Diceros bicornis minor: one gene and its partner. The protein of the gene in region 1 interacts with the protein of each later gene in a pairwise test. Links are inferred from orthologs where the notes say so. Each region holds a gene or a part of one and is shown on either strand. Other genes may lie near its edges.

The links.
Region 2: the proteins of LSMEM2 (region 1) and LSMEM1 interact in binary tests that used the Homo sapiens proteins (3 or more experiments, as listed by UniProt). The two-hybrid records come from large-scale screens. The link is inferred for Diceros bicornis minor from reciprocal best matches to the Homo sapiens genes LSMEM2 and LSMEM1.

Annotation. Positions count from the first base shown.
Region 1 is NC_080741.1:51,315,402-51,326,509, forward strand, and holds LSMEM2 (leucine-rich single-pass membrane protein 2), read left to right. Parts: upstream 1-5,728; 5' UTR 5,729-9,642; coding exon 9,643-9,748; intron 9,749-9,842; coding exon 9,843-10,028; intron 10,029-10,243; coding exon 10,244-10,377; 3' UTR 10,378-10,849; downstream 10,850-11,108. Other genes in the region: SEMA3B (semaphorin-3B), read left to right, coding at 1-75, 270-389, 1,593-1,738, 1,830-1,941, 2,058-2,127, 2,206-2,350, 2,687-2,906, 3,168-3,259 and 5 more.
Region 2 is NC_080742.1:64,075,774-64,086,453, forward strand, and holds the start of LSMEM1 (leucine-rich single-pass membrane protein 1), read left to right. Parts: upstream 1-5,957; 5' UTR 5,958-8,548; coding exon 8,549-8,675; intron 8,676-10,354; coding exon 10,355-10,483; intron 10,484-10,680. Other genes in the region: IFRD1 (interferon-related developmental regulator 1), read left to right, coding at 330-419.

The sequences.
Region 1 (11,108 bases):
ACCTTCGAAGGCTAGAGGATGGCAAGGGCAAGAGTCCTTATGACCCCAGGCATCGGGCTGCCTCCGTGCTGGTGGGTGAGTCCAAAGGCTGGGACCCCAACAGAGCTCCTGGAACCCCTCAGAGACTCTAGAACCTCACAAAGTCCCAAGACCCTCCCTAGAGCCCCAGGGATCCCCCTTAGCCACATTGACTCCCCAAGATCCTCCAGGGTTCCACAGGCCCCCCCACCGAGAGCCTTCAGCTTGGCTAAGTAGCCCTTGCCCTGCAGGGGAAGAGCTGTACTCGGGGGTGGCCGCAGACCTCATGGGCCGGGACTTTACCATCTTCCGCAGCCTAGGTCAGCGTCCGAGTCTCCGAACAGAGCCACACGACTCCCGCTGGCTCAACGGTAAAAGGCTGGTGGGGCTGTTGGGAGGGGGCCCTCATCCCCAACAGGGCAGGAGCTGAGCAAGGCCCATAAAGAAGTGAGCAATGGGGGCCAGCGAGGTGGCACATCGGTTAAGTTCATGTGTTCCGCTTCAGCGGCCTGGGGTTTGCCAGTTCTGATCCTGGCCACGGACCTACTCACTGCTCATCAAGCCATGCTGAGGCAGCATCACACATAAAAGAACTAGAAGGACCCACAACTAGGATATACAACTATGTATTGGGGCTTTGGGGAGAAAAAACAAGAGGAAGATTGGCAGCAGATGTTAGCTCAGGGCCAATCTTCCTCAAAAAAAAAAAAAAAGTGAGCAATGGACACAGCCAGGTCTCACCAAGTACCTACCATGCCTCAGGTCCTGAACTAGGCACTGGGGACGCAGGGCACACAAGGCAGGTATGGCCCATGCCCTCTTTGAGTTCACAGACCTCAGAACAAATACATGACAAGATCAATTCCAATGGCCGTTAGACCAATGAGGGAGTAGAGAGGAAGGGAAAAAGAGACTAGGTGGTGGTGGTGGTGGGAGGGTTGGGGAAAGGAAGCCACCCTGCTGAGGAGAGGTGTGAGCTAATTCCCAAAGCACAGCAGGATTGAGGGAAGAGCGTTGTAGGCAGAGGGAACAACTAGTGCAAAGGCCCTGGGGCAGCAGCAAGCCAAGCCAAAAACAGTTTAATGAAGGGAGCAATGATAAGGGCCTTGGACTGTCAAGGTCCAGGGTAGTTTATTCTAAGTGTGATGGGACCCAGCAGAGTATTTGAAGCAGGAATGAATGAGGGCATCTGCTTCCTGCTAGAGAGGAAGACTCATGAGTGAAGGTATAACCCATACCCCATCTCCCTCCTTTCTTGGCTCACTGGCCTGGAGAACTGTCATGGGTGAGAGGCCTGCCACTGGTGAGGGTCCCCCTCCTGCATGCCCAAGTAGCCACTGTCTCTGCTGCCCTCTCGTGGCTGCTTCTTGACTCGCAGGCTCTGATCCTTTGGTTTCTTCCCCTGCTGAGCACCATCTGAACTTGGTCCTGGAGGCTGGGTGATCAGATGCTGCCCCGGGGGCTTCTGTAGGCACAAGAAGAAGGGGAGGCAGCTCAAGGGGTGGCAGCTTGTGGTTCTTGGAGTAGGGGGCGGGCCAGGACCTCACTGACCCCACACCTCCTGCTGCGGCCAGAGCCCAAGTTTGTCAAGGTATTTTGGATCCCGGAGAGTGAGAACCCGGATGATGACAAGATCTACTTCTTCTTCCGTGAGTTGGCAGTGGAGGCCACGCCGGCACTGGGACGCCTGTCCATTTCCCGTGTTGGCCAGATCTGCAGGGTGAGGAGTCCCTGAGCCAGTTCTGGTGACCCCGCCCCCGCCCCTTTGCCCGTCTGGGCCTCGCCCTCATCCCCTCTGATTGACCCCACAGAACGACGTGGGTGGCCAGCGCAGCCTGGTCAACAAGTGGACAACGTTCCTGAAGGCACGGCTGGTATGCTCGGTGCCTGGCGTTGAGGGTGACACGCACTTCGACCGGCTCCGTGAGTGCCAGGAGTGGAGGATGGGGTGGGGGGAGAGAGTGCAGGGGCACAGATCCTGGAGCCTGGCCGGCTTGCAGGGCTGTGCGCCCTCCCCCATCTAGACCCTGTCCCTGCAGAGGACGTGTTCCTGCTTTCTTCACGGGACCGCTGGACCCCACTGCTCTATGCTGTCTTCTCCACATCTAGGTGAGGAGCAGGAGGTAGTGGGGCAGGGTCTGCTGGGCTCCACTGAGCCCCTCACCCCGCTCATGTCTTCGCCTGCAGCGGCATCTTCCAGGGCTCCGCAGTGTGTGTGTACAGCATGAACGACGTGCGCCGGGCCTTCCTGGGACCCTTTGCACACAAGGAGGGGCCCATGCACCAATGGGTGTCCTACCAGGGCCGCGTGCCCTACCCCCGGCCTGGCATGGTGCGTAGCCTGGGGACTCCCACCACAACCCACTTAAAGCCTCAGGGGTGGAGAACTTAGCCTGGGTCTTCTTGGTGAATGTGGTTTCTTCCTTTTGTTATGGGGTGGAAAAGTGTCACCTTCCTCAGACAGGGCTCCTCAGGGGAAGGCCATATTTTCCCCCTCAGACTCCCAAGGGCAAAGTTGGGTCTCGCCTGTCAGATTCCCAGGGCAGGGCTCTATCTAATACCCTCCCCTACTCCACCCCCCAGTCCAGGTTCTGGGTGGTCTCTTGTGGAGGGCTGCCCACCAGGCCCTCATGCGCACATCCCTGTAGTGCCTCCTCTCCACCCCCAGTGCCCCAGCAAGACCTTTGGCACCTTCAGTTCCACCAAGGACTTTCCTGATGACGTCATCCAGTTTGCCCGGAACCACCCCCTCATGTACAATTCAGTCCTGCCCATGGGGGGACGCCCTCTCTTCCTACAAGTGGGTGCCGGGTATAACTTCACCCAGATCGCTGTGGACCGTGTAGCTGCTGCTGATGGACACTATGACGTCCTCTTCATTGGCACAGGTCAGGGCCCTGCCATGACCACCCACAAGACCCAGTCCAGGCTCTTTGGCCTGTTTAGTGAAAGCTCCCCCTGTTCAGTCTCATCTCACATCTTTGCCTGGGCTGTGCCCCCATCTCCTTCTGGATGCTGCTCTGATTGTTCCAATGCACATTCTTCACTGACCCAACCACGCTGAGGGTGGAGGCCTCAAAAGTGAGGAGACCCCTGGCCCTAGCTGTCAGAGCATACAACGAGTCACTTACCTCTTCTCACCCCTGCAGATGCCGGCACAGTGCTGAAGGTGATCTCGGTCCCCAAGGGCAGCTGGCCTAACGCCGAGGGTCTGCTCCTGGAGGAGCTGCATGTGTTTGAGGTGAGACCTAGTCCCCGTCCTTTGGGGTACCCTCACCCCACTGAGCCTTCATCCCAGCGCCCCTCCTCCCTCTCAGGACTCAGCCGCTGTCACCAGCATGCAAATCTCCTCCAAGAGGGTAAGTGACCAGAATGTTTGGGGATGGAATGGACCGAGCACGTTCCCGGGTGCCCTCACCCCCATGCCTCCCTTGGTAGTTCAAAGCCCTGGGTTTGAGTAGTAGGCTTTGCCTTGGCTAGACTGTGACCTGAGACTTCAGTGTTCCCATCTGTCAAGTGGGGGACGGGATTCCTGATCAATGGGAGATGGGCAGGGGGCGGCTCTCGGTCAGCCCGGAGCCCCTCGTGCCCCCTAGCACCAGCTGTACGTAGCCTCGCCGAGCGCAGTGGCCCAGATCCCGTTGTACCGCTGTGCTGCCCACGGCCGTGCCTGTGCCGAATGCTGCCTGGCGCGTGACCCCTACTGCGCCTGGGATGGGGCTGCGTGCACGCGCTTTCAGCCCAGTAGCAAGAGGTGAGCAGAGTCGGGGGCGGGCCACCGGGAGGGAGTCTTTCGCTGCTGGCTAAAAGAGGGGCTCACGGAGGCTCCAATGTTCTCCCCAGGCGGTTCCGGCGGCAAGACGTAAGGAATGGGGACCCCAGCACGCTGTGCTCTGGGGGTAAGTGCCTCAGCTGCCCCCACCTCTCAGCCCTTAAAGACGCCCCACCCTGCCCTGCCTTGCCTGAATCTGACATTCCCCTTCCCCTCAGACTCGTCCCATCCCACGCTGCTGGAGCGGAAGGTGTTTGGTGTGGAGGGCGGCAGCGCCTTCCTGGAGTGTGAGCCCCGCTCACTGCAGGCGCGTGTGGAGTGGACCTTCCAGCGCTCAAGGGAGGCAGCCAGCACCCAGGTGAGCCTCCACCTGATCCCTGTCCCAACCCAGGCCCTTGTCCCACCGCCTACATCTAGGAGAGGCCTAACTCTGACTAATGAGGGCCTTGGCCTGCTCCCCACATCTAGATGAGGTCCAGCTCCGCCCAGCGAGGCTCCGCCCAACCAGACCCCGTTGGTCCAGTTTGGTCCCTTACCTGCACTCCACACCCTGGTGAGGCCCCATTCCGTCTAACTAGGCTCCTGATCCTCCTCACGCACACACACATCCGAGAGAAGACCCCTCCTTCCTCGCCACGCCTGTTGAGGTCCCCGACCCGCCCCCCACAGTCAGGTGAACCTCACCTTGTTCAGGTTTCCACTTGAAGACCACCGGCCCCCATGCACCCAACCTTCAAATATGCACCTGTGAGCGCCCCTTTCCCGTTCCCTCTGGGCCGCCGTTGATCCGTTGCTTCTCCCATCCAACGCTGGGACACTGGTGCCAGGGAGCCCTGGGCCGGACCCTGACGCCCCGCCCTCACGCTGGCCCGGCCCACAGGTGCCGGCGGAAGAGCATGCGGAGCGCACTCCGCGAGGGCTGCTGCTGCGTGGGCTGCGGCGCGGGGATGCGGGCGTGTACCTGTGCGCAGCAGTGGAGCAGGGCTTCTCGCAGCCGCTGCGTCGCCTCGCCCTGCACGTGCTGAGTGCTGCGCAGGCCGAAAGGCTTGCCCGGACGGAGGAGGCTGCGCCCGTCGCGCCGCCGGGCCCCAAGCTCTGGTACCGGGACTTCCTGCAGCTGGTGGAGCCAGGCGGCGGTGGCGCGAGCTCCCTGCGAATGTGTCGTCCGCAGCCCGCGCCGCGCCCACCTTCTCCGGAGTTGCGGAGGAAGGGCCGCAACCGGCGGACACATGCCCCAGAGCCCCGGTCTGAGCGGGGGGCCGCGCAGCGCAGCGCACTAGTGACTCGGCCATCCCCACGCCGGGGACTGGGGAGGCGACGACAGGCGGGAGAGAGGGGGCGGACAGACCCTGGGAGACGGACAGCTGGGTGCCGGACACACTGCCGTCCCCGGCCGATGGACACCGACTGACAGGCCCTGGCCGAGGGGCAGCCGCGCTGGCTTATTTATTAACAGAGGATAACCCTTGAATGTAGCCCCTGGAGGGTGGCCCAGGCCAGGCACAGGGTCCGGCTGGTGGCTGGCTGGGAGAAGGCAGAGAAGCAAGGCTCCAGAGCCACGATCTGGGCGGGGGAGGTGACCCGAGTGCTCACCCTGGGGGAAGGACCTCCTCCTTGGGCAGTGAGCAGAAAGCTGTGAACAGCCTGGGCTGTTGGGGGTGGGGGTGGGGCAGGCCGACTGTACTAATGCAATAAACACACTATCAGCTGAAGCTGGAATGGCCCCAGCAGACAACCGCTGGTCCTAGGTCTTGCTGTGTGGCCTTGGGCACCTTCCTAGCTGTCTCAGGACCTCAGTTTTTTCTGTCTAAGGATGCTGCGGTGAGGATTAAAGGTGGTTTCCATGTGACGGAGTGGATTCTGTAGGGCCTTTGGGGATACTGACATGTCCAGTATATTCTGAATAATATAGTTTCTGGGCTAAGTGCTATGAAGAAAATAAAATTGGGTGATGTGGAAAAGAATGTGAGCAGAAGGCCTCACTGAGGGGGTGACATTTGAGCTAAATGGCAAGGAGCCAGCCATGGGAATATCTGGGAACAGGGCATTCCAGGAGGGAACAGCCAGTAGCAAAGGGCCTGAGGTGGGAACAAGCTTGCTGTGTTTGAGGAATTATCAAAGAGGCCAGTGTGATACAGTGGAGTGATGGATTTGGGATGTTTTAGGAGGTAGAGCCCACTGTCTTGCTTTGTCCCATTTGGGAAGGAGGGGACACAGGGGTCCAATGGCAGAGGGTGGGCCCTAAGCTGGACCACTTCCTCCCTTCAAGGGTAAGTGGTGCCATGCATCCTCACAAGGCTTCGTGTGAGCTGTATGCCCTTGTGGAGGGAGAAGGATCAAAACTGCATTGTGCTAAATGCTTCAGACGTGGTTGTATTTCTATTCTCACATGTACTGTGCTGGGGAGGAACCACTGTTAGTCCTGTTTTACAGATGAGAAAACAGGTCAGAGAGGGGGCAATCTTTTACTCAGGGTTGTAAGCTTAGTATTGTGAGCACCAGCCTTCAACCTGGGTCTGCCCACTGACCAGCATGGATGCCTGTGTGTATGGGGGTGTCTCTGCCCCTTTTTGCAGCTCCCAGAGCCCTCATGGCACTGGGCTCCACTTGTCCATCACCCCCAATCCCTGAAGCCAGCAGGTCACACAGTGGTGGGTGCATGTCCCACATTTGCTTGGAAGAGATGACCCAGCTATGGGTGGTGTCTTTGGGAGTGGAGGGGTGGAGATGCACAGGGCTGCAGGCAAGGCTGCCTTGTGGGGCAATGCTGGAGGTGAGCCTGAGGCAGCTTGTCTGGATGAAGATGAGGCCTGTGCATATGTGGGGGTGGCAGGGTTCCCTGGGAAAGCCCCTGTGCACATGCACTAGTGAAGGTGCCATTTGCGCTCTCGCCTGGGCTGCATCACTAGGTATAGTCCAGGCTGGCCCATGTGGGTCACTCCTCCCCTTCCCGTGGCTGAGCGCTGTCTCCTCTAAATATAGCCCAGTGGGCGGAGCTCAGGCCTATTTTAGGCCCAGGCTAGGAGGTGGCCAGGCCTTCCCCAGGCTCTCAGAAGAGTCACTGCTGCCTCCACCCTGTTCTGCTACTGGACGCTATCATCAGCCCCGACTGCCCACCACCCGCTATGCCTGACGAGACCAGAGAAGGTAGGAGATGACTGTGAGGAAGGGCCGGGCCCTGGGCCTGTGACCCTGTGGACCATGAAGAAACCTGCCCCCTGTTCCACCGACCTCACTTCCTTGACTAGTCATCAGTCACCATGTCCCAGCTCAAGTAAAGTGACCTGCCCCCTGTGCACAGAGGTAGGGCCTACCATGCCTGGAACCCCTCCTCACCTCAGGCCTTGCCTGTTTCCCCTGCTAGGGACAGCAGGGAGTGACTGCGGGGAGCTACCCAGTTCGGGGAGGGTCAACTATAGGCTGTGCCCAAGTGGGTGTGGGCCAGGCAGATGCCTGGCCAGTTCCGCTCTTCCTTCAGGGAGGAAGCTGGGATTGGGGGTTGGCAATGGTTCCAGGAAGCATTTGGCCACATGGCTCAGGGACTGGGAATGGATAGGCTTCTGGCCTCCTCCAACCTGGGACTAGGTTCCCCCAACTGGCTAAAAGTTGGGGTCCCCTGGCCTGGCCAGATTGACTGCTAGTTAAGAGTTGGGTGGCTGCCCACCTAACTCCTCGCCACATGCAAGAAGTACAGCGCCTCAGAGGGGCCAGAGCAGGGGACCCAGGAAGCTTCAGGTTCGGTACTGGCCAGGATGCAGGACCAGTTGCTCCAGGGCTCCAGCTTGGCCCAGCTGGTTAACTCCCCCATGACATTTTCTTCTTTTGTTTTTTCTCCCCAAAGCCCCCAGTACATAGTTGTATGTCCTTCTAGTACTGTGTGGGATGCCTTCGGCATGGCTTGATCAGTGGTGAGTAGGTCCATGTCCAGGATCCGACCTGGTGAACTCCAGGCCGCCCAAGTGGAACACGCAAACTTAACCGCTGTGCCACCAGGCCGCCCGCCCCCCCATCATATTTTCAACATTTTACACTGGGTGGGAGGTGCCTGGCCCCGGTGGGGGGGATGTTTGCCTCCTCATGGGGTCGTAACAATGACATTTACTGTGTGTTTTCCCTGGTAACAAATAGAATCTGATTTCCACTTTCAATTTAGAAAGTGTGGGAAAAGCACAGCCAAGTGCAAAGAGGGAATTTAATATGATCCCCAACACCACCCTGACGAATGCCTGGCAGCATGTTTTTGTTGTACTTACTTTTGAGCATGTCAAGGGCCAGTTTCAAGCAAATCAGGAAGGTTGTGTTACTGCTCTGAAACTGACAGACCCAGAGAGTCCAATCGTCCTGCTTCTATCAGGAGGTGGCCCTTCTATGCCCCCACTTTATTATCTAGCTTCCAACTGGGCATCTGGAGGGCTTCAGGGGCCAAGATTTTTTAAAAAATCAAGTCAAAGAACAACCAGAAGAAAATATAATCTTGAGACAAAATAAACACTTTGATGGGTCCAAAAATAATTAAAATCACAAGAAAAGTAGACCCCAGTGACTAAATAGGCAGAGGCTGTGAATGGATAATTAGGAGGCTACACACATATTGGTCAGCGCCACCCCCCCACCGCCCCAGGCAAAGAAATCCAACCAAATTGGTCAAGAAAGGCCTTTTCTCATCTCCCAACTTAGCACATACCTGTGTGTGCACATATGTGTATCAATTTTTTTTTCAATGGAGATGCCTAGTGGTGGCAATGTTGTACCCTTTTGGGGGCTGTGGACAGCCATTCTGGAGGATGATTCGATGATAGCTTTTTATTTATTTTTTTGTGAGGAAGATTAGCCCTGAGCTAACATACGATGCCAATCCTCCTCTTTTTGCTGAGGAAGATTGGCCCTGGGCTAATATCCGTGCCCATCTTCCTCTACTTTATGTGGGACGCCGCCACAGCATGGCTTGACAAGCGGTGCATCGGTGCATGCCCAGGATCTGAACCTGCAAACCCCGGGCCGCAGAAGCGGAGCGCACACACTTAACCGCTACGCCACCAGGCTGGCACCTCAATGATAGCGTTAAAAAAAAGTCCCTGCTCTTTCATCCAGTACTTCTGCTTCTGGGAATCTGTCCTTAATAACTATTGGGAAATTGGAAAAAACCTTCATACTCAATGATGCATCTCCTTTTCTAGGGGTTATTAATTTCGGAAGGGAACTGGAAACAACCTAAATGCCCAGGCAGCCTCAAAGGGATGCCCGAAGGGAGACCTCAGAGGCAGTGAAACAGTTTGATAACAAAGGCAGGTCTCCTGTTGTGCTGTAGTGTAAACAGCAGGGGTCACAGAAGTACAGCAGGATTAAGCTGAGTATGTTGAAGCAGAGCCATAGGCCAGGAGGAAAAGGCACCAGCCAGCTAGAAGGGGGCGCTGCTGCTGGGGACAGGAGAAGGCACCAGGCACCGTGTCTGGCCTGATGGCTAACTCAGGGTCTGCAGGGAAAACTGAGAGCGGAAGAGGCAGGAATGAATTTCATGCACTGTAGGTTTAGTCCTCCAAGGCTGATAAACTCTTCTCCAGAAGTGAGCAGGCAGAGAAACGCCTGATAGTGCTTGAGGTGCATGGAAGGAAACAACGTGAGCAAGTCAAGTGCACTTCCTGCTGTTGCGGGTGGAACAGGCCTATGGGGTTCTGGGATTGTCCTGGCTCCAAATCAAGGATCATTCCTGAGTTAGTTTTAGGGGATTAGGAGCCAAATGCCCCTTTGTCCTGTCCCCATCTTCTCTGAGCCCCTGCTGCCACTGGAAGCCACCTAGAAGGGAGAGGGTGACCCGCTGGCTGAATCAGCCCCACACTGCCCGTGCAGACACCATGGCACCAACGCTGAGCTCAAGGAGCAGGGCACCGCTGGCCCCCAACCATGTGCAGGAGGTGTGCTTGCACCGTGTGGAGTCCATCAGCGACCTACACAGTGGAGGTGAGGGCGGGGGCAGGGGAGTGGGGTGGATGCACTGAATGGGGAGGAAAGCAGGCGCACCTGCCGCCCTCCTGATGCCCCATTTGCCCCACAGGTTTGCTGCGACCCTACCTGGCCGAGGAGGCGCAGCCATGGGATGAGCTGCTAAGCATCTTGCCGCCATCGCTGTGCACTCAGGCCAGCTGCAGCCCTGTGCGTTGCCGCGGGGGTTTCCTGCTGCTGCTTGTGCTGCTAGTGCTCACCTGCCTGGCGCTTGCTGTCCTGGCTGTCTACCTGAGTGGTAAGGCCAGTGCAGGAAGCCAGTGGAAACCGAGTGCAAGGAAGTGGGACCAGGAGGCCTTTCTGCACTGTTGGAGGGAACAACTGCAGAGACTGAGGCAGTGAAGGGTGGGGTGGAGGGTTTGAGGGCACCCTCTGGTGCTGGGCTGGGTGGGTGGGGGAGTTGAGTGGTGGCACGTGGTCTGATAATCCCCATTCCTACCTGCCTGTCCACAGTGCTGCAGAGCGAATCCCTACACATGCTGGCGCACACACTGCACACACAGGAGGAGATGCTCCTCAAACTCCGGCTTGCCAGCCTCAGCCAGCTGCGGAGGCTCAACTCCAGCGAGGCCCGAGCAGCCAGTTGAGATGCCACTTGGACCTGGGGACTGGGGGTTTGTGTAGGGGGGAATAAAGTGGCCATTCGCAGGTTTCTCCTCTCCCACTGCTGCTCCACACTACTTCCTTGGTGAGGTTTTTGTACAAGAGACTGATCTGACCCCACAGCTGCCTGCCCACCTCTTCTGACTTCTTCAGGCCAGGCCCAGCCAAGCCTTCTGGTGCCAAGGCCCTGCTCTGGGTGGCCCAAGGTCAGAGGAAGTAACACCAGCCTCCTGGCTCCTCCTGTGGCCTGTCAGCACCCTCTAGCCTCCCCCAGATAGCAGGTTCAGAAGTCTAGAAATAGCTGCCCCCACCCCAGTCAACCAAACTCTGCCAGGCCTCCCAGTGAGGGTCCAGCATCAGCTGTCAAAAGACAGGCTGGGCTCTGAGTAGGGGGAGGAGAGCTACCTGGGGAGACAATGTCTTAGAGGGCAAAGGTGAGATGGAGATGGGTGAGATCTAGCTGGACCTAAGCATGGGGTAGTGGATGGGGAGGGAGGGCAGGCAGAAACACCTAGGAGCCAGGGCCACAAAAGGCTGAGCATTCAGTTTAATTATCTCTAATAATCTTTAAAAGTCAGCCCATAAATCAATTCCAGGTAGTCTCCCTCTCCCCAGCTGATGTGGTGGCATTTGTCCAGATGCCATTCCCCCCCAAGGAAGTGGTTGATCCCAGGGGAGCAAGGCCTGAGAAAGGAAAGAAAGGAAGGGACAGCCC
Region 2 (10,680 bases), on another chromosome or scaffold:
GACATTTTGTTTACATTAGTTTGTGATTTATCTTCTCCTTGATCAGATTAAATGTTGATGTACTTTTTTTTACTTTCTCACTGGAATTTTTTTGGTATTTTACATATTTGATTAGTACTTTTCTTAATATAGATAGCCATTAACTAATATATATGTTAGTTTTCCCTCTTGTTCTTTGTGTCTATGTGTTTCATAAACATTTAAAATATTTCTAGGGCTGAATTAGTTCATTTCTTTCCTTTGTGATTTTTATTTATCTTTTTTTATTATTTTGCAAGAATATCTTAAGCCTTAGTGACTCACGTATATTTTCCTTTTCTTTGTTTTAGCACTTATATAATTCTGCAGCCTTCAAAGCTCGAACAAAAGCTCGAAGCAAATGTCGAGATAAGAGAGCAGATGTTGGAGAATTCTTCTAGATTTTCAACACTTGAAAACTACTTTCTAATTTCCAATTTTTTCTTTTTTTGTAATTTCTAATGTATTTAAACTCTAGAGACAGTTTTTATCTTGGGTCAACATAGATAGCTTTTGTAGCAGGGTTTATATTACTTATAATTTAATGTACAGTGTTACAAATGGTGAGTTCTGATTATGGAATATTCTCTGTAAATATCAGTAAACATGAATAAAGTATTTGTAATGTTTGGTCATTTTCTATTTATGAAGAAAGCAAAAATAGATTTCACATGATATCCTGATGAGAAAAATTATTAGCCAAGATTAAATTTCTTGTACTGTGGTTGTCAAAAATATTGATTGTTCTGGTATAGATATACAAAGTATTTAACTTAAAATCTTAGACAAATGAGTTTTGGATACAATTTTGGGAGCTAGTTCTTCTGGAAAAGCTGCTATATTTTTAATTTCAAATGGAACCTGATAATTTTAATTTTGTCACTGTGATCAACAAAGGGAATTATACCATGAGACCTTACAGTTGCACTTAAGTGCAGACCAGCTATTGGGAATCATGATGAATTAGCGTATGGATTGCTAACCTTGACCTCTGAGGGCAGTAACACTAATTTTATCTGCTGTGTAAGACCTTGTACTCTTTTATTTTGAAATAAAAATCTTTTCACATTGAAAGTGCTTCTTTTCTAATAAAGAAACATTATTTATGGTTTTGAGGTGTACAGAGTTCAAAATGACCAAGCCAGGTAGGGAGAGAGTGAGATGAGACTTACTTTGTATGTTTGGAAACATGAAAATAGACGAAAAAATGAAGCAATATATCATTGGGATTCCAGTTACTGACTTTTAAGACTGTTGCTGCTTCGATACCCCTATGAGGTGATTTTTCACTTTATGAAATGCATTTTGACAATACATTAGGATTTTATTAATGTGTACACAAATTATGTTACACAGGCAACATTTGCAATTCAAGATTCCTAGACTTATGTCTTTGACATTAGTGCAGAAAAACAGTGAAAAGAGGGGTGAGGGTTAGGGAAGCATGTACACTGTAGAGAAGTACCAAAATCACTGGGGGTATTTGTTCCAAACTAGCATACTTCCTCTCCCGCTTCCCCAACAACAACTGGAAGGTCTGATGTGCCCCCTAGTTGAAAATCACTGGCTGGCCTATGGAGCACCCCCTGGGAGTGTGAGCTCTATCCCTCAGAGTGCACTGGAAAACCAATTGGAAATCTAGAACTTGGGTTTGCATGTTGTCATTTGTATCCAAGTAGGTTAGAATCATGGGAAAGAGATTGCAGATAGTGTTTTTTCCTAGATTTTCAATTTTGTATATGTATACATATGTTTAAATAAAAATGAATTTTTATTGAAGTGATATATACACACACACACACACACACACACACATATACTTTAATAGATACTTCAAGGCTTATAAGAAAAAAAGTTAGCTCCCTGCTCCATCGTTTCCCATTTCTCAGGCCCATCCCAGAAGGCATTTCAGCCTTTAGTTTTTTGCTAGTACTTGGGTTTCTGGTTTCTAATATGCTTCTACAACTGGTTATTATTTTTAGACATCTGCCAACTTCCTATTTGCTAGGTGAAAATTTCTGCCTTTTTACTTTTCCTTTCTGCTACTCCCAATGCATCATTTTTTGCATCGTGGTGCATTTCAATTCTCAGAACATTTTATCTTGGTTTTACGTATACCACTAATGCTTTTTAGTCCTAAATAAATATATAAAACTCTTGAATCTGTTTTCCACATGGTCAAAGCCCAGCAGAACTCTTGCTTCTTGTTTCAGTCTGCGCTAATTTCTTTCTTGTCTGAGTATACAGCTGTTTCCTGAGACTTCATCGTCCTGAGATTTGTTTTCCTTTCTTGGGTTCGATTTCACATTACCTAGACCCCATGTTTTCAATGTCAGATCATTTTCTTGTTAAAGTGGAACACTTCCTTCGTAACTTCTGGGAATGGGTGAGTGGGAGGCTGATTATTTTGAGACTTTATATGTCTGAAAGATAGTTTGGCTTGGTATATAAAGTTCCAGATAGAAAATCAAATCCGGAATTTTGAAGGCATTGTTGTATTGTCTTCCAATTGTCAAGTGTTGCAATATCTGATGTGATTTTTGTTTCTGATTTCTTTGTTTTCTTTTGCTTTTAGAATCACTTTGTCTCTAGTGCTCTAAAATTGGGTGATACTGTGCTTTGGTGGGCTCTGGCAATCTGGAAAATATTTTTAAGTTCTTGACCATGCTCCCCCCCCCCATTTTCTTTGTTCTAGAACTCAAGATACTAGAGCTGCTGGATTGATCCACTGGGCTTATTTCTTTCTTGCTCATTTCTTTTTCTTTCTGAGAGGTTTATGTAACATGGTTTTCCAATCGTCTATTGCATTTTATTTTTGGCTAACATGAAATTACCTGCCTGTGTTTAGCGCCATACTTCACTGTTGCCTCCAGTTCCTGAGCCTGCCTGAATTAAGCGGGATCAGTCACATCACTCATCAGGGATAGTCCTCCGGAGGTCTGCTAAGGCAGGTACCAAATACTCCCTCCTTTTCCTATTCAATACATTTGCTGAAATCTTGTTCACCATTGCTTTCTCCTATTTTCATTCTTGTTTTGTAATTTTTACCTATTCTGCCTTTTTACTGGGGTTTTAGGAGGAAGAAGAGATAAACATGTTAATCTGCATATTAAATTTATAGATTTTTTTTTTTTTATTCATGGAATTGATGGGTATTTGCTGGACAGATTTACTGGGGATTCAATGTGTAAGAATGCTTGAGTTTTCTTGAAATTAGTAAAATGGTGTATGATAGACCAGTTCATTCCTGGATTCTTGGTTAATTTTGCTGGTTTAAAGGAGTTTGAAATGGTCCTTGCCTAATAAGTTCTTTATTTTGAGGCTCAAGCATAAATTTTGAAGCAATGAGCATCTGTGACTCAAGCCTTTGATAGCATTTACTGAATTTCCTGGGAGTTTAATCTAGATACAGTGAGATATAATATTTGAAAGAAAAAGCAAGAAATACTTGAAAATGTCCCCAGATTAAACAGTTCAGGTGAGAATACCTATTTTCTTCTTGTGACCCAAAACTCTTCAGGTACATAATAGATAAAATGAGGTAGGTTACCTTGCTGTGCTCTTAAGTGGTTCTCATAAGTCTAACTGGTCACAAGCCATTAAAAATCTCATTCCCTTCACTGGTGTAAAATATGGTGAAACATGGAATTCAGACTACAGTGTGAGGAATTGCTTAGTCTCCATTTTCCTCATCCCTGAGGGATTGGATCACAGGGTTGTAAAGTTACAGGAGAGAGAAAAACACACAGTAAATGCTCAAAATGTGGCTATTCTATTTTTCTTCAAAGGTTAGATGGTTTAAGATAGATCAGGTAGTTGGGAGATTATTTTTTAAACTGAGCATGATAATTAATAGCTAACAAACATTTTCATTTTTCAAGAAATTTGGCATAGCTTTTTAACGTATAATCTGCGTCTGAGAAAACAGTTATTAATTATCTTGTCCTACTTCATGAATTGCTCCTCGGGTGTAGATGAAGCTTAAGAAAATGATGTTCCTTTTTCCCAAAAGTAGAGTGAGGTCTATAATGGATACTATAGATGTGAGGGAAATTTTATGGAGCAAATATTTTCTACTTGACATGCAATGTGTTTCAAGGATGAATAATGTCCATCTAGTCATGGCCATGGAAGGTAGGATTATAAGGGATTATATATCAGTTTATCACCTAACCCTTAGTGTCCTGCTGGGATAGTTCGTCCCTGGGGTCTAGGATCTGGGTTTATGGGATTGCAGGTCTCCTCCTCACTGTAGCTTCTTTTATGTACACCAGAGGGCAGAAGCTCCTTGGCATGTGTGTGAGGGAACCACATAAGAGAAAGGCTGACATTCCTGAGAAAACAAGATGCATAAAAAGTCACAGAATAAAGCCTTGGAAAAGGAAAGGACGTTGATGAGACAAAGTGCTTCCATCACCTGCAGTGGGTCTGTAGCCAGACGATCTCCCACTCACAATCTTTTTTTGTAGCTACTGGAAGCCCTAGGAGTCCTCTGACCTGCATCATCCTCATTATAATGTCACAACCTTATCCTGTCCCTCTTTATTGTAGTCCTCTGGTTGGTCTGGTAGTCCTGTGCAAGTTAGTTGTCAGAGTGGCAGCTCCATCCTGCTACCAGATATTTATATATGGAGCATACCGTGGCAGAAGTGCTGGAAGTGTGTCAGCTTACACGGTTGTGTCGGCCAAATAGGGACATTAACTTCAGCCCCATAAGAACCTCATCAGTTACCAATTTCATCAAGGAATGGTGGTTTTTTTCTTTTTAAAGCATAGTATCAGTAATATATTTACTAAAAACCTTAGACATTGTGAAGAAAGTCAGTATTTGGAATCTTACACTGCTTGGTTAAATTAACACTAAATATAGACCAACGGTTTCATGCTGGGGTTTATGGGCCTTCTAGGAGCACCCGTGTGCTGAAGGAAGGCAAAGAAGGAAATACAGAATTTGTAGAAAATTTTGTTGTAGTTGCTTCCGAATAATTAGTTGTTTTTGTTTTTCTGGTAACCTAGCAGTGAAAGCTCACATTTTTGTAAGTAATTTGCATGCTATTCCTCTACTGAGACTGAATTACGATTCTTGAGGCTGATATGTTTTTTGTTGCGTGTGTTCTGTGCTTTTAACTTTTGATAGAAATGATTTAGAGTTGATTTTAAAAATTACTTCCTGAATCTGAAGAGGCACTGACTCTGAAATAAGATTAAAGAACAAATTACCACGACTCACTCAATAAAGTTTCCTATTAGCTTTGAATTAAGCCCTATTATAACAATTCTGATTTTGTGGCAAGCAATACTCGTGTGAGTTGTTTCTGTGGTTTGATACTGAGCACCTACGAGAAAAAATAAAGAGCGAAGCAATTTTTCATAGGCAACTATATTTGTCAGAATATTTATTTGTAGGTAGTCAAAGAATTCTTACAAGACAAAAAGAATCAGCGGTTAGCATTGATCTAAACGGGAGGAAAATGAAATTACTTACATGTTTCAGCACAAGGTATTAGAAAGGGTTCCATTAAAAGAATGCTGCATTGGTCAATCTTACTTAATGAGCAAATTTGCACACCAGAGTCGGGAAGGAGGGTCGAGTTAGAGCAATGCAGAATTTAGTAACACTGGCTTTTCCAGCCCCGTTGGTTGTTCCCAGATGCCCTCATATGGAGATACCAAAGATAGCAACAACTGGGTGTCAAACAGCTGTGGGTCCTGGTTTTAGGGCCATGTGATCTTGTATCCATTTACTTGCAGAGTCATTTGCAAGCTCTTGGTGGCCATGAACCACACCTAACTCAGTTTTCTCTACTAGTTCTTTTTTTTACCATTTGCATGTTGCACATAATTTTAAAACACATTGAAATAGCATCTATTTACGTTGTGACTTTACCCTAAAGAAGAAATTTTTTTTCAGAGCACTTCATAGTTCACTCTAAGTTGTTGTCTTAGTGCTTTTGGATTTGATGTTGCATTGAGTCACCTTTTGAGTTGGTAGCAAGGCCAATAATTTGGAGATTTTATTAGCTGCACTGCTCTTAAGTCAGTTTTTGTGGCTATGATTTTCTAGCTAGTCCTCCACTTTGTAAACGTTCTTTAAGCCTCAGTATGAGATTTAAGCAATAGTAATTACATTCCTAAAGGGGAAGCTAAGGCTCAAAGATATTAAGTCAGAGATCTAAAAATGAACCATGCATCAGTCACCCAGACTAAAATAGAAGCTGTGTTTGGAACGAGGATCCTACGATGTGACACATACAACCTTTATTCCTCATCAAATATTAGTATTTGGGATAATAAAGTATAAAAAATGATAAAATATAAAAAATTTCGAGAAAAATAGTTTAGGAATCTGTGACCATGCATTAGTCAACACTTTTGGTTTTATCTATACAATGATGAGATTTGATTGATCTCTAAGGCCTCTCTACTCCATGGGCTGTTACTTTTTTTTTTTTTTTGCCACTTAAAGTCGTTCACTTATGAATGCTCCATGAAGTAAATTTGGAGTTCAATAACATCAATATATAAAGTGCTTCAGTAGTACCTTACCTAAAATACTGATGGAATTATGTGTTCTTGTTCATTAAAATTTCAGGATAACTGAAACACCATTTTTAGTTTTTAATCTTGATTGAAAAAAAATTTAATTAGTCCATGACTTTTTGAGCTCACTGTTTTTCTTAGCTAGGGTTCTGGGAGCACATTTTTTACAAGTACTAATAGGTTTTAGGTATTACTGGGAAATTGCTGGCTTTTAATATTTTAGAGTGCAGTTTAAGTTATTTAGTAAATGGCTGATGCTTTTTTTCAGATCTTTTATAGGTGTTCATATCCTTTTTTTCTGAATTTGATTTCTCCTAACTCTAATTATATTTCTCTTTATTCTGTGGCTGGATATTAGAGGAAATTTTTAAAATGTTAACAGGAAGTAAACACTGTGTTGCCACATATAGGCAGGCATGAAGTTTATTGCCTTGACTTTACTAAAAGTCTGGAAAGATGTCACGTGAGGACTTTTACCCTCAGTTTTATTTCTGTTAGTGTCCTTATTATTAACTGCCTCAAATTCTTTTGAAAATAGTGAGATTTAAACCCCAAATAAAATATTTTAAGTGCTCCAACTTAACATAAGTCACTGGCTTCTAAAGTTGGCCCTGGGCATTTGAAGAATAGGATTGGTGCTGACCCTAAGGAGTTTTCAGTTAATTGGGGAAGTCAAAGATGTAAGCAAATAAATGAGATAAAATATTATAGGTGTTCTGATAGAAGAATGGCACAACCAGCAAGGGCACAAAGGAAAGACAGGTTGATTCTTAGAGGAGGTGAGGTTTGAGCTGAGTCCTGAGAGAGGATTAGGGAGGGATGTAGAGAAGGAGTGTAGTAGCACAAGGGAAGGTGCAGTGAACTCTGAAGCAAGAGGCCACTTCCAGCTCTGCAGCTAGGGAAATGTCTTTACCCTCTGAGCTTCCATTTCCTCATTTGTGGAAAGGATGGGGGCTAAAGGAGAGCACGTCTAAAATCCTTTGCAGATCAAAAAAATCCTATATCACTATTAGACTCATTTTATGAAAAGAGATAATGATAAAAGAGAAAGCTTTTATAGTCATTGTATTTTGTCTTCCTAGAGCCTTCTTTTCGTGCAATTAAAAGGCCACAGATTCTCGGTTGTGCTCTGGAGAGATCTTAAAATAGCAGGCTTTTCAGTGTTGCTTGAAGTTGTGCTGTCATTAGAATATTACCTTAAATGTAAACCTCAATTTTAAAATTACTTATTACGTAAGTGACCTCAATCTGAGGAAACTCAGGGGAAGAGACCTCAGAAGTCCTGGCCTGTAGCCTCTGACTGCTGCAGGATTCCTCTTTACAACATCTAAGCTTGCTAAGATTTGGTCTTGAAGATTCACAGCCAGCATCTAATGGTTAAAGGATACATTTTAAGGTGGAGCCTCACATACCATATTGAGGGAGAATATAAAAATTACAGCTTTGTATTAAAGCCTCATGCAATTAGAATGGGTCACAGTAATGTTCCCTTCTCTCAGAATCTCTATGGCCACAGGCCAACTAGCTTAATTTTATCTTTCTATATGTTTATATATAGTCTCCTTGCACAAGGGATTTGAGGCGTTGCCCCAGAATATGAACAATGTAGTAAGAGAGAAAAATTTTTAAATCAATTACGAAATGAAAAGCAGGCCCAGAGAAAATGTAGACAGAATTGAGAAATCTGAAGAGGAGGTAAGAGCATAAGCAGATAAGTAGTGTATAAAGCACGGTACAGTTCTTAACATTGGGCCACACGCTGGACTCTGAGCTTCCTGGCAAGCAAAGCAAAAAGAATAGTTACAAAGTTATCCCCAGAAGGAAATATTTTCTTCCGGACAAGCAAAGCTTTTCTAGACCTTCAGTTGGAAATAGTATTTGTGGGTGGTTCTTTCCATGCCTGTCCAGTCTCCTGCAGGCTGTGATTCTTGCGGAGCTGAGTTCCCCAGACCAGCCTCTTACTTAACGTCAGTGTTTCCTTTCAGGGACAATGAATCATTCTTCCCAGGACACTGGCTCTCGCGGCATTTATGAAGATAGAAAGCTTTATGTTGTGGATTCCATAAACGACCTAAACAAACTAAACCTCTATCCTGCCGGCTCGCAGCATCTGTTCCGTATGTGTGCCCTCCAAGGCTTGGTGGCCTTTCCTGGCTTCTAGGCCACCTAAAAATAGCAAATGCTAATCTGGACCTGGGGGCGTGGGGGGGGGGGTGCGGGGTGGGCACTAGGAACAGCCTGGCAATGAAAATGCTATTTATTATTAGGCAATTTTTGCTTTTGTTCCTTGAATACTTGATGACTTATGGGATCTCTTGGCTCCAAAGCAAGAATTGAACGCTTGTCTTCAAAAGTTCTGAGAATTCCCTGTGGAGTTTCTCTCCCTGGAAAGGGGAGGAGGCTGCAGAGCTGGTCTCCCAGAGGCTTGCTTATCTCTCTCCGCTGCTGTCGTGCCTTCTAGTGACCACAGCCAGGTCACGGATGGTGCCTGCTTTCCTAGAGGGATCTTACTTCATTGTGGATTGCTGAGAAAATGCTCCAAACATTCCTCCAGTTTTAAAAAATATCATTAAAATTTTGTTGGACAAAAAGTCAACTTCATTTTCTACTTACAAATTATGAATTGTCCCAATTAAAGGCCTAGAAAAGGGTGAATGAAGCAATAAAAATCTGCTAAGTACTAAATGTGTATCTTGTCCCCTAAATATTGTAAAGGAGTTCTATTAGAGCATTCTGAGCCCCATTTTTCTAGCTTAAACGCTGACATTCAAACACAGGTGTTAATTGTCCACTTGCCATTTGTTTCATATGCATTCTAAACTCTTATTGTCCCAATTTTATATCTATTATTCCCCTTCTAAATTCTTTCTGAGTTCCTGCTTTTTCTTCATCAGAATGTGTTCAGATTTCCACCTGTTTTTATTGCAGTCAGTCTCAATAAAAGTAGATGTTTGGGTGCCAGCAGATGCTGTTGCTTTGACTAGGAAGCAAAAGCCGTTGAGAGGTTGACACAGGATGTACTTAAAAGCACGGGACATGAGCCACTCATCTATCTGTAATCAAGTAGCAGTGTGTGGAACTGAGGCGAAGTAGGAGAGAATATAGAAAGCAACCAAGGGTCTCCATTCCCCAAGTTTCTGTATGTCTTATTCAATTCAATTTGGGTGTTATTAGGCAAATAGGCCTTACAAAATGATAACCCAATGAAGACAATTTATGGTGAAGTGGGTAAACAAAGCTGTTTTATAAGTGTGGCTGCATTCTCAGTTCAACAGCAAGACATTTAAAAGAACCTTGCTTCCAGAACATGTCCATGCTGAAAACAGCTTTAAGAAACACATCAGGGCCATTTTTTGTTTAAATGGGTGTAGGCATAACTGATTATTCCTACGGTAAAGGACTTTCCTGGGAGATATCCCAGAGCGTTCAGCTTTCCATGCAGGGGAGGTGTCCCACGGCCAGCTGTGCTTTACTCCTGGGTCACTTTGGGAAAAGGGCAATAAATCCTCCATCACTCTTAACCCCCAACTTCTTTACCCAATCCCCCTCCCCCACCCCCCAAACAGGGGTAAGGAGATAGCTTGACTCTGCTTGTTCTTTGAATACCGGTGTAGAAGAAGGTAAAAAATTCACAAAGAGTATCCCGCCCAGAGGTTCCTAAAACATGTCACTTTCTAGAGTGATTGGAGAGAAAATGGTCGTATCCCTTACTCAAATCTCTACTAATGGGGGACTGCTCAGTTCTGCTGGTGAGCTGTATGCTGATGAGTTTTTGTCGTTGTTTGCTTCCTATTAGCTCTAGAGGAGAAAATCCCAGACGTTGGCACTAACTCAGGAAATGGAAGCCACAGTCTGTTTTTTGTGGGGCTGATAATCGTGCTGATCATTAGCCTGGCACTGGTTTCCTTCGTGATATTTCTAATAGGTAAGTACCACGGACAGGTTTTTCATTACTTATATGCACTGCCTTCATAGCTGGTTGTCTCACTTTGCTCCTGTAACAAGTCCATGCTTTCTGGCAATCAGTGCTTATACGGAGAGAGAGAGGGCAAATGAACGCCCAGGGCGAATGCTCTTGTTCACCGGGGGCAGGGTCGCTGCAGCCTACACCCACTACATAAG